Linked DNA regions of Oryzias latipes. The protein of the gene in region 2 binds, or shares a complex with, the protein of the main gene of each other region. Links are inferred from orthologs where the notes say so. Each region holds a gene or a part of one and is shown on either strand. Other genes may lie near its edges.

Region 1 (4,394 bases), on a different chromosome or scaffold from region 2:
TTAATCAAATAAAAGCATTTGTTGATTTGTAGATTGATGAAGAAGTTGGAACTCGGGAGTGTTTTCTGCCCCCAAAGGGGTTTAGATGTCAATGATGGTGAATATTTCTGGTTTTTCCTTATCATGAATCTGCATGGCAGAGTATGTGATGGCTTTGACCTCAGTCCCCTGAGGACATAAGAGGACAAGTTAAAGATGCTGTAGAAATTTTACACATGGCTCATTTTATTTCTGACCCACCTGAGGATGCTTTGATATGGAGAATTCCTCTCCCCACCTATGCAAAACAAAAATGGTGTGGAGAAAGCTTCAACAGCTTGCAAAATCCCATCAACCAGTAGAACTTTTTGGAAAACTTAACTAAACTAGTGCATTGAAAAAATGGTTTCTGAAGTTTTGGTATTTATGAAGTTGATCAAATGAGCCCAATCCTACCCGATGGAGCGAATCTTATAATGCATTCTGTCTATGTGCAAAACCTTTATCTCCTGATGAACAGAGAAAAAAACAACAACAATAAGCTTATAACATGAAAATGTAATGACAAAAACAATATTACTCCACAAACAAATAAGATACTCACCCTGGGTACAAAGAAGAGATCTGCACTAAATTTGTATAACCAATCATCTAGGAAATGGAAGAGAAGAGACTCCATATCTTCACCTTGTGAAAGGAAGCAAGTACATATGCTATTAGTTTTATGTTTTCAGTAAACATAGATCCACAACAAAAATGTAAATGTATTAATTATCAAAAATATTTAGCAAGTCTAGCTCTTTAAGGGGTTTCAGTGTGGTTGAGACAGGCCAACAAAAGCATTTTCCAAGATTTACTATAAAAATGTTTCTCAAAGACATTACACTACACTTAAACCTTGAGCTCCATTATGTGTTGGCCAACAGTCCTTTAAAAAGCAAATGATTGTCTCAAACTTTTTGTAGATAATCCCATCAAGTACACGTTTGCTGCTTTGAGTTAAAGCAACTCTTTCCATCAGTAAATGTGACAATGAGCCTGCCCCTGAAAACAACTGAGGATTCATTTTACTCATATGTACCCATCAGTCATCATTTGAATAGTAATTTCAACTTAATGGGTTTGTGATTTTTAGTGAAAAGAGAAAGGAGAGACACTACAAGAAATTAAAGCAATTAAAAACATCTAACAATAAGTCTTTTTATCCTGCAACCTGAGGCTCCCTCAACTGTGGCTTCTAAGAAAAATGCAAGCAATTCTAAAAAATATTAAATTGGTCAATTTATTCTAATATATGCTGCACAATAGCAGTTGTAACTAATAGAAAATGCAATGTTTGACTCGGTTTTCTTGCATTGTTACATTGAGTAAATCGGATGCAGTAAGGGGATCTTCTTGGACACAGGATGTACTTTATTTTGAAAGGAACTTGTTTGTGCAACTGTCAAAAGCAAAGATGTTGAAATTGTTACTTATAGAAACTATAACACTTTTATAATGTAACTATTGTAAATATTCTTTAAAAAATTGAGTTCATATTTGAATGGCTGGATGGCCACCTAAACCTAAAAAAACGTGGGAACGTCTCGGGTTCCCCCCAGAGGAGCTGGAGGAAGTGGCCAGGGTGAGGGAAGTCTGGGCATCTTTGCTGAGACTGCTGCCCCCGCGACCCAGCCCCGGATGAGCGAAGGGACGGAGGATGGATGGGTAGATGGAGGTTAAGTAGGACTCAGTGGCTCTAGCTGTGTTTTATTCAGTAAGAAACTGGACCAAATAACTCTTTCGGTGTTAAAGGTTGCAGACCCCTGGCCTAAGAGAACAAAGACTAAGAATGCCTTTTTACTAAAGCAGAGGGTGACGAGGACAATCCATGATGGATCACAGTTTCCGTTCCATCCTCCTCTCACCCACCAGCATCACAGACTCTACAAGACATCCCAGAATGAAGACGGATCTCCGCACCGGTTTGTCAATCCTCTTCCTGTTTCTGTCAGTGTATCTTCCCGCAACACACTCCACAGAAGAGGACAGACACAACAACACTATCATAAAAAGTCTTTACCGGGACTGAAAACTCCAAAGGACCCTAGACTCCTTAGCAAGTGCCGTGGAGTCGACCCTGACCCCCGTTGTACAGGACACCTGTGTTAGTTGACCAGTCCAGTCTGTCATTGACAGCCTTTTAGCAATTTATTTAATGTAAATAAAAAGCAGCAATGTCCTCAAAATGTTCAAAATGGACACTAAGAACACTTGAGAAGAGTATATATAGTGTGAAGAATTACATCTTTTTCACACAATATCACATATATAGAGAGAGAGCTTCTATGAGCTTCTATTCTTCTTCTATAAATTAAATAGAATGACATGAATGACTGAGGTGCTCCCCTTCGTCATACTTTATTTTGAGCGGATAACTATTTTCTGCGTCTTTTTCTCACCTTCTGACTCCACTTCAACGGTATCCAGAGGCTCTACGGTCTCTGTGTCGGTCATGTAGCCGAACATGCCCATGGCACACTGCTCGAAAGCTTCTTCCAAGGAGTCTCCCCAAGAGTGAATTCTTGGAATAAAAAAATATAAAAACAATAGCACTAACTAAACACAGATCAATAGCAGCCCCCGCATTTCAAATACAACATACTCACTGTACATCTGCTGTATGGTCCAGGTCTACAATATTTAAAAAGAGTTTGTTATCATTATTTTTTTCACATCATGTCATTTGTCAGTTTTCATTCAGCTATAAACAAGCTACGCTAACAACATTTATTTTCCTTTCTTGAGACCTACATTCATATTTTTTGTTGATCGGAGGATACTTTGACTTGACAGCTTTCTGTTCGTTTGTCAGGTCTAGCTCACGGTCGTCCATTGCAGTTCGAAGTGCGTCAAGTATAAAAAAAAAACTATCCGTCATTTAGAATCATGTCGGAACAGGAAATGCATGCTGCGTTCACGGAACACGAAAATGGGAATCTGTAACTCATTTCTTGCAAATTGCAAGGAAAACATGTGTCGCAATATACGAGTTTTTATCATATGCCACTGACTTGTAGATGTTACTGTGACAGAACTAAAACATAACAGGTATTCCAATTTGTGAAAGACACTTTGAAATATATCGTGACAAGAATAATACATTACTACCTCCAACATTACTTTAACCCCATCAACGTAAATAAAGATAATTATTTTGAACATTTACGCGAGTGAACTACTAAGGATCAAAGCTACGTCTGTTAGGAGCGTTCTTGCATGTTTCTAAAGATAAATATCCTATTTCCGAGTTTCAGTGGTACATGAATGCACCAAAACGTATGAGTTCAAGACTGGAAGCCCCGGAAGTTGCCTCTTTGCTGTAATAACTTCCTGTCGGGTTTTCTCGATGGTGATTGGTCAGCCTCCCTTCCACGGAGTTGGCGCCATTGAAAGGCTGCGTGCTGTCTTTTGAGTGCTGTCCCATAAAATACTTATTTTCTACCAATACTAGCCATTTTACCGTTGCACGATGGCTGACAAAGACGGTAAGAGTGTATACTATTTCGAACGAAAAGAGTAAATGTGGACGTTTGCTACGCAGAGTGGTTAAAAGAGCTTAGTTTTGAATGCACCGGGGATCGCAGCGCGCCGGCCAGCGGCTCTTCTCATTGTTAGAGTAGCAATTTAGCTGTTAGCTTGCTAGCTTCTAGCGTCAACCTACGTAGATAAAAGTAGACTAATTTTTACCATTTATTATCAATGTCTTATTTTTATTAATCATTAATCCAACTCAAGAATTCAGAATACATTGTATTTGGTTAATAAACCATTCCTATTTTTTCTTAGTTTAAAATAATGTTTGATTGTAAATAAAAAAAAAACTTTACATTTGCAACCAAAAATAGTACGATAAAGCTTTTATCTTAAAAATCTGTCGGTTTTGGTTAATTGTATTTTTTAGCTGCATTTGATGATGCTGTGGAGGAAAGAGTGATCAATGAGGAGTACAAGATCTGGAAGAAGAACACCCCTTTTCTTTATGACTTGGTTATGACCCACGCGCTGGAGTGGCCCAGTCTCACTGCTCAGTGGCTCCCAGATGTCACCAGGTGAGAAAAATGTCTCAGATCATTTTTAGAAATCCGTAAGATATTTGGCCATCTAATGTAGCTTTTGTGTTCTTTTCCCTCAGACCGGAGGGAAAGGATTACAGCGTGCACAGGCTGGTTCTGGGGACGCACACTTCAGATGAGCAGAACCACCTCGTCATTGCCAGTGTTCAGCTTCCAAATGATGACGCCCAGTTTGATGCCTCGCATTATGACAGTGAAAAAGGAGGTGAGTTACGCTGTTCACGAGTGTCATACGTGGTGCACATCTCCCAATCAAAGTGGATGATGGATTCGAAAACGTGTTTTGTGTTTTTACATTTT
Region 2 (4,454 bases):
CTGTCTGGATTTTTCTTTTCTTTTTTTCTTTTAAAACAACACCACCGAGAAACGTAAATGGCTTTAGAATCCAGAATCACTCAAGAAGAAATTAAAAAGGAGCCAGAGAAACCCATTGACCGGGAGAAGGTAAAAACAGCGGCTCGTTAGCCACGGATGTAGCTAGCAGCCTGGTTTGCTAGGCTAACAACATGCTAAAGGGTATTAAACACAATAACGTCCAACGCCGAAAGCAGCAAAAATTACTATTTTTGTGGCTGAATTTTGCTGCTAAAGGTAGTTTATAAAAGTCTATTTAAATTAACCCAATAAGTGATTTAATGGTTAAAAGAAATCAACCGTTTTGGTGACATACGCGTGCTAGGGTTAGCCTGCTAGCTGATGGCTACATCATGTGAGATTACCAGGGTCCTGGTCCCTCGTGTCCCCCTACATTTGGGTCGCGTGGGCTTATGTTCTGAAGGGAGGCTTTATTCATGTGCTTTTTGGTCGAACCTGTTTAATCGGGTTTCCCGAACTTTGGATCAGTGGGTTCTAGAACCTCAACCCCCCCTTCCCCACCCTCCCTCGCTGAGACTAAAGTCGATACTACGACATTGAACTGGAACCACTTGGATTGTAAAATAATTGTAAATTATTTACTTAAAAATGCAGTACAATACATTTATCACATGCAGTGGTTTTAAATGTATCAATATAGCGCGAGGGGCAGGCAGTCTAATAGAATTCAGCAGCTGGCACACAGTACACTTCCGTTTCACTTGCAAAATAAAAGCATTTAAAAAAGGTCTTTGGACCCAGTATTTCAGTTACTGTTTAAATGTAATGCCTGTATTCTTTTTTGCAGACCTGCCCTCTTCTGCTGCGAGTTTTTACCACCAACAGCGGCCGCCACCACAGAGTAGACGAATTCGCTCGAGGAAATGTTCCCTCAAGTGAACTGCAGATTTACACGTGGTACGTAACTGGTTCCGACTTCCTGGTACTTTAACCCAAGAGTCCAAATGAAATCTAAAGTGAGTCTATTTCTTTCATTTTTTTTTTTTTTTTGGCCAGGATGGATGCCACTCTGAAAGAACTCACCAGTTTAGTGAAGGAGGTTTATCCAGAGGCCAGAAAAAAGGGGACCCACTTTAGCTTCGCTATAGTCTTCCCTGATCTCAGAGGGAAAATGTACAAGTACGTATAATTGTCGTAAACAGCTGTGAATTGGTTTTTTGCTTTGATTGAACCTGTTTTGTTCTGTAGGTTCAAAGAGATCGGCAGTACGATATCTGGCAGAAAGGGTCCAGATGACTCCATGACCTTGCAGTCTCAGCGGTTCCAGATTGGGGATTACCTGGATATCGCCATCACGCCTCCCAACAGAGCCCCGCCTCTTGGCCCACGAATGCGTCCTTTCTGAACCCATGCTCACCTAAATATGTGCTTTGATTGACAACTCTATTTCATTTGTGTCTTCAGTAGTTTTGTGTCATTTTCTAATAAAAAAAAACTTGTGTTCAATAAAGACTTTTCATTTCAAAAATTCACCCTTTTGTTTTTTCTTTCTTGGTCACTAAAATAGTTCGTCACTTTATTTTGAAAGGTAGGCCTACAGATTGCAGTCTCCGGTCGCGCATGCGTAGATTCTCAAACAGTCAGCTAGCAGCAAACTAGCGTAGTTAGCTTTGCTGCGGCGTGAAAACACGTTTTCTCTATCAGAAAATCTCCAAGGTGAAATGTTTCGTAGAAAACTCACTGCTCTGGATTATCACGACCCCGACGGATTCGATTGTTCGGGTAAGAAAACGTTTAAATACGGCGAAGGGGGGAGAAATTCACCCGTTTCCAGCTGACGTTGTCATTATTGTGGAGCCGAACTAAAACTACCCTTCTAAAAATAGCAACTTTATAAGTTATGTGTTCAAAATAGCAACAAGAAAGATTCAAATGTCGTTCTATTTATAGTTTAGAAAGTTTACTGTACCATAATTAATTCGGCGTAGACAGCTTCATGATTTGATCTACTTAATTGAAGAAATTATAACTTTTTTTTTAGCTGCTTGCTAGTTTTTCTAAAACGTTTGCGTTCGTGCATCACTATGCTAGTTTATACAATTGTTTTCAGGCTCTGTGTCCAACTACACCCAAAACCCATAGCTACTAGTACTTAATGCGCATTTCAAAGTAAACCAGGTTGAACTTTGACCAGATGACTGCAGTGCTTCTACATGATCTGCAGATGAGACTCAGTTCAGGAACTGCATCGTGTGGCTGGAAGACCAGAAGATCCGACACTACAAGATAGAGGACCGAGGTAACTTGAGGAACATCCCCAGCTCGGACTGGTCCAACGCCTTTCAGAAAGTGAGTGTCTGCTGTGCTGCAGCGTCCCCCCACCCGAACCTTCGGGGTTCTGACTGTGTGTGTGTGTGCAGTATCTGCAGGACCTGAACTGTCCGTTTGGCGCAGAGGAGAGGAAAGAAGCTGTGGACTGGTTACTTGGCCTGGCTGTGCGATACGAGTATGGAGATAACGGTGAGATTCAGCAGTGGCAGGAGCATTTGTGGGGGGGTGCAGTACTCAACAATGACCACTAGATGGAGATAGTAAAAGGAAATTCAACTAGTCTGATTCAGAAGTCCCTCCAAAATAGGGGCGATTAAGCCAGTAATTATTTTCAAAACAAAGAAGGGGAGATACTGCTGTTACCCTAAAATCATCCCCTCTACCCCTTTTTTCTTTGCTCTTCTTTATACAAACAAAATACAAAAGAAGCTGCATCACGCAAAACCCGGAAAAAATTTAATTCTGAACATTTACCATAAAATAGTAAGTTGCTAATGACTTAATTCCCTCACCTTTTCAAAATAAAAGGAGGAAATATTGCTTGGACTGTTGACCACAAGATTTGCGGTAGCTTTATACTGAAACATCAATCATTGTTTTTGAACAAGTGCAATGACACATATTTTTGTGTCTCTCTAAACCCTTTTAGATTATTTTTAGCGTTTTTGTTTTATTTTGTTTTTTTAAACAGTTGTAAAAAGAAACTAATGTGAAGTTTTGTATATGTTTTTCCAAGTTACACACTATAGCTCTGTGGGGGAGTATTTAGCATCACCCCTGTGTGTGTGTGTTTTTGGTTTTCTTCTGGGATACTTTGTTGCCAACTTTTCAGCTCTGCAGCATCAAATTCGCCCACAAAATGAATTATTCTGAACGTTGGACGTTGGTAGTTGTTGGAGCGCGCTCAGTAAGGCCCTTTAAGGGTTGAGAAATTACAGGGTAAACACCCCGTTTTGATTGCAAATACTTTTAAAAAACAATCAAATGAGGTCTATAGAGAAATGCATCAATAAAATGAGTAAATATTAGCCATAAATATTAGCAGACACTAGAAGTGAAAAGGGATCAATTTGTTTCTGGAACCAGTCCCCCAGTGGCAACCTTGGGTACTACATTAACTTCATATTATTGTATATTTCTGTTTAAAGAGCTTTTTTATTTCACCAGACAAAACTCCTGTATTAAATATCTTAGTTTTGACACTAGGTGGAGCTGCTGCCCCAAACATGTCAGCTTCTGCAAGAATGAGGAATTGCGGAAGGAAGAACTGTTTGTGGGCAACAATAAAGCACATAATTTGCAAATAATTTATGTTTTTTTTCATTTTCCCCCTGTTTTTGCTGTCAAATAAGACAAAAAACACCAAACTGAGATCACTCTAGACATGTCTTGTAGTCTGCAGTTACTGCAGGCTCACAAGGTGAAAATCTTGGCTACATTTTGAAATAATTCACCACTTTCTGTGGTCGTCAGGGGGCAGAAGTTGGATCACCGTTTTTGTTGTTGATTTATTTTATCAGTTGAAAAGTACAGGAACTGTCAGCCGCTGGCGTCCGGGAACAGCGACAAAGCGGTGGATCCGCTCCTCAACCTCGACAGTAAGTCTCTGTTTTCACTTCTGCTACTGGAAAACTTTTTATGTTATATTTTTTTTACATTTTGTCACATTCTTTTTCCAGGTAATTCTCCGGATTTCAAGGCAGGAGTTACGGCTCTGGCCAACATCCTGAAGATCCAGCGACACGACGATTACCTGGTCATGCTTAAGGTGGAATGAAGAGAGGGTTCATTCCCCATTTGAGTCAAGTTTGAAATGATTTATCCTTAATTTATCTCAAGTTTTTGCCTTTTTTTTGTTTGTGTTGTTTTCCCATTCTCAGGCCATTCGCATTCTGATCCAGGAGCGATTGTCTCCAGAGGCGATCACCAAAGCCAACCAGAGCAAGGAGGTAAATGGTGGCCTTAGTGTTCAGCTATGTTTACGTCGCCCTCGGCAACGCGCCTTCAAGCTACCACTTGCAGTGAAAAGTCTATGTCGTAGATGCACGTTTAGGGGCTACCGTGTTAGTTAACTAAAGTGCGTTAAAAGTTAAACCAGTTGAACTTTGACCTGTCAGGGACTC

Evidence for each region.
Region 1: rtraf (region 2) and zbtb8os share a complex: the UniProt entries of both Homo sapiens proteins name them as parts of the tRNA-splicing ligase complex. The link is inferred for Oryzias latipes from reciprocal best matches to the Homo sapiens genes RTRAF and ZBTB8OS.

Annotation. Positions count from the first base shown.
Region 1 is NC_019880.2:14,997,549-15,001,942, forward strand, and holds the start of zbtb8os (protein archease), read right to left. Parts: upstream 2,935-4,394; 5' UTR 2,900-2,934; coding exon 2,773-2,899; intron 2,653-2,772; coding exon 2,628-2,652; intron 2,543-2,627; coding exon 2,421-2,542; intron 667-2,420; coding exon 584-666; intron 489-583; coding exon 436-488; intron 278-435; coding exon 241-277; intron 169-240; coding exon 82-168; 3' UTR 1-81. Other genes in the region: histone-binding protein RBBP4, read left to right, coding at 3,491-3,506, 3,923-4,070, 4,154-4,299. UniProt on the Homo sapiens protein: Component of the tRNA-splicing ligase complex required to facilitate the enzymatic turnover of catalytic subunit RTCB. Together with DDX1, acts by facilitating the guanylylation of RTCB, a key intermediate step in tRNA ligation.
Region 2 is NC_019860.2:16,861,450-16,865,903, forward strand, and holds the start of rtraf (RNA transcription, translation and transport factor protein), read left to right. Parts: upstream 1-1,609; 5' UTR 1,610-1,721; coding exon 1,722-1,782; intron 1,783-2,224; coding exon 2,225-2,349; intron 2,350-2,420; coding exon 2,421-2,520; intron 2,521-3,851; coding exon 3,852-3,929; intron 3,930-4,010; coding exon 4,011-4,099; intron 4,100-4,211; coding exon 4,212-4,280; intron 4,281-4,454. Other genes in the region: histone deacetylase complex subunit SAP18, read left to right, coding at 58-129, 848-957, 1,057-1,179, 1,249-1,405. UniProt on the Homo sapiens protein: RNA-binding protein involved in modulation of mRNA transcription by Polymerase II. Component of the tRNA-splicing ligase complex and is required for tRNA ligation.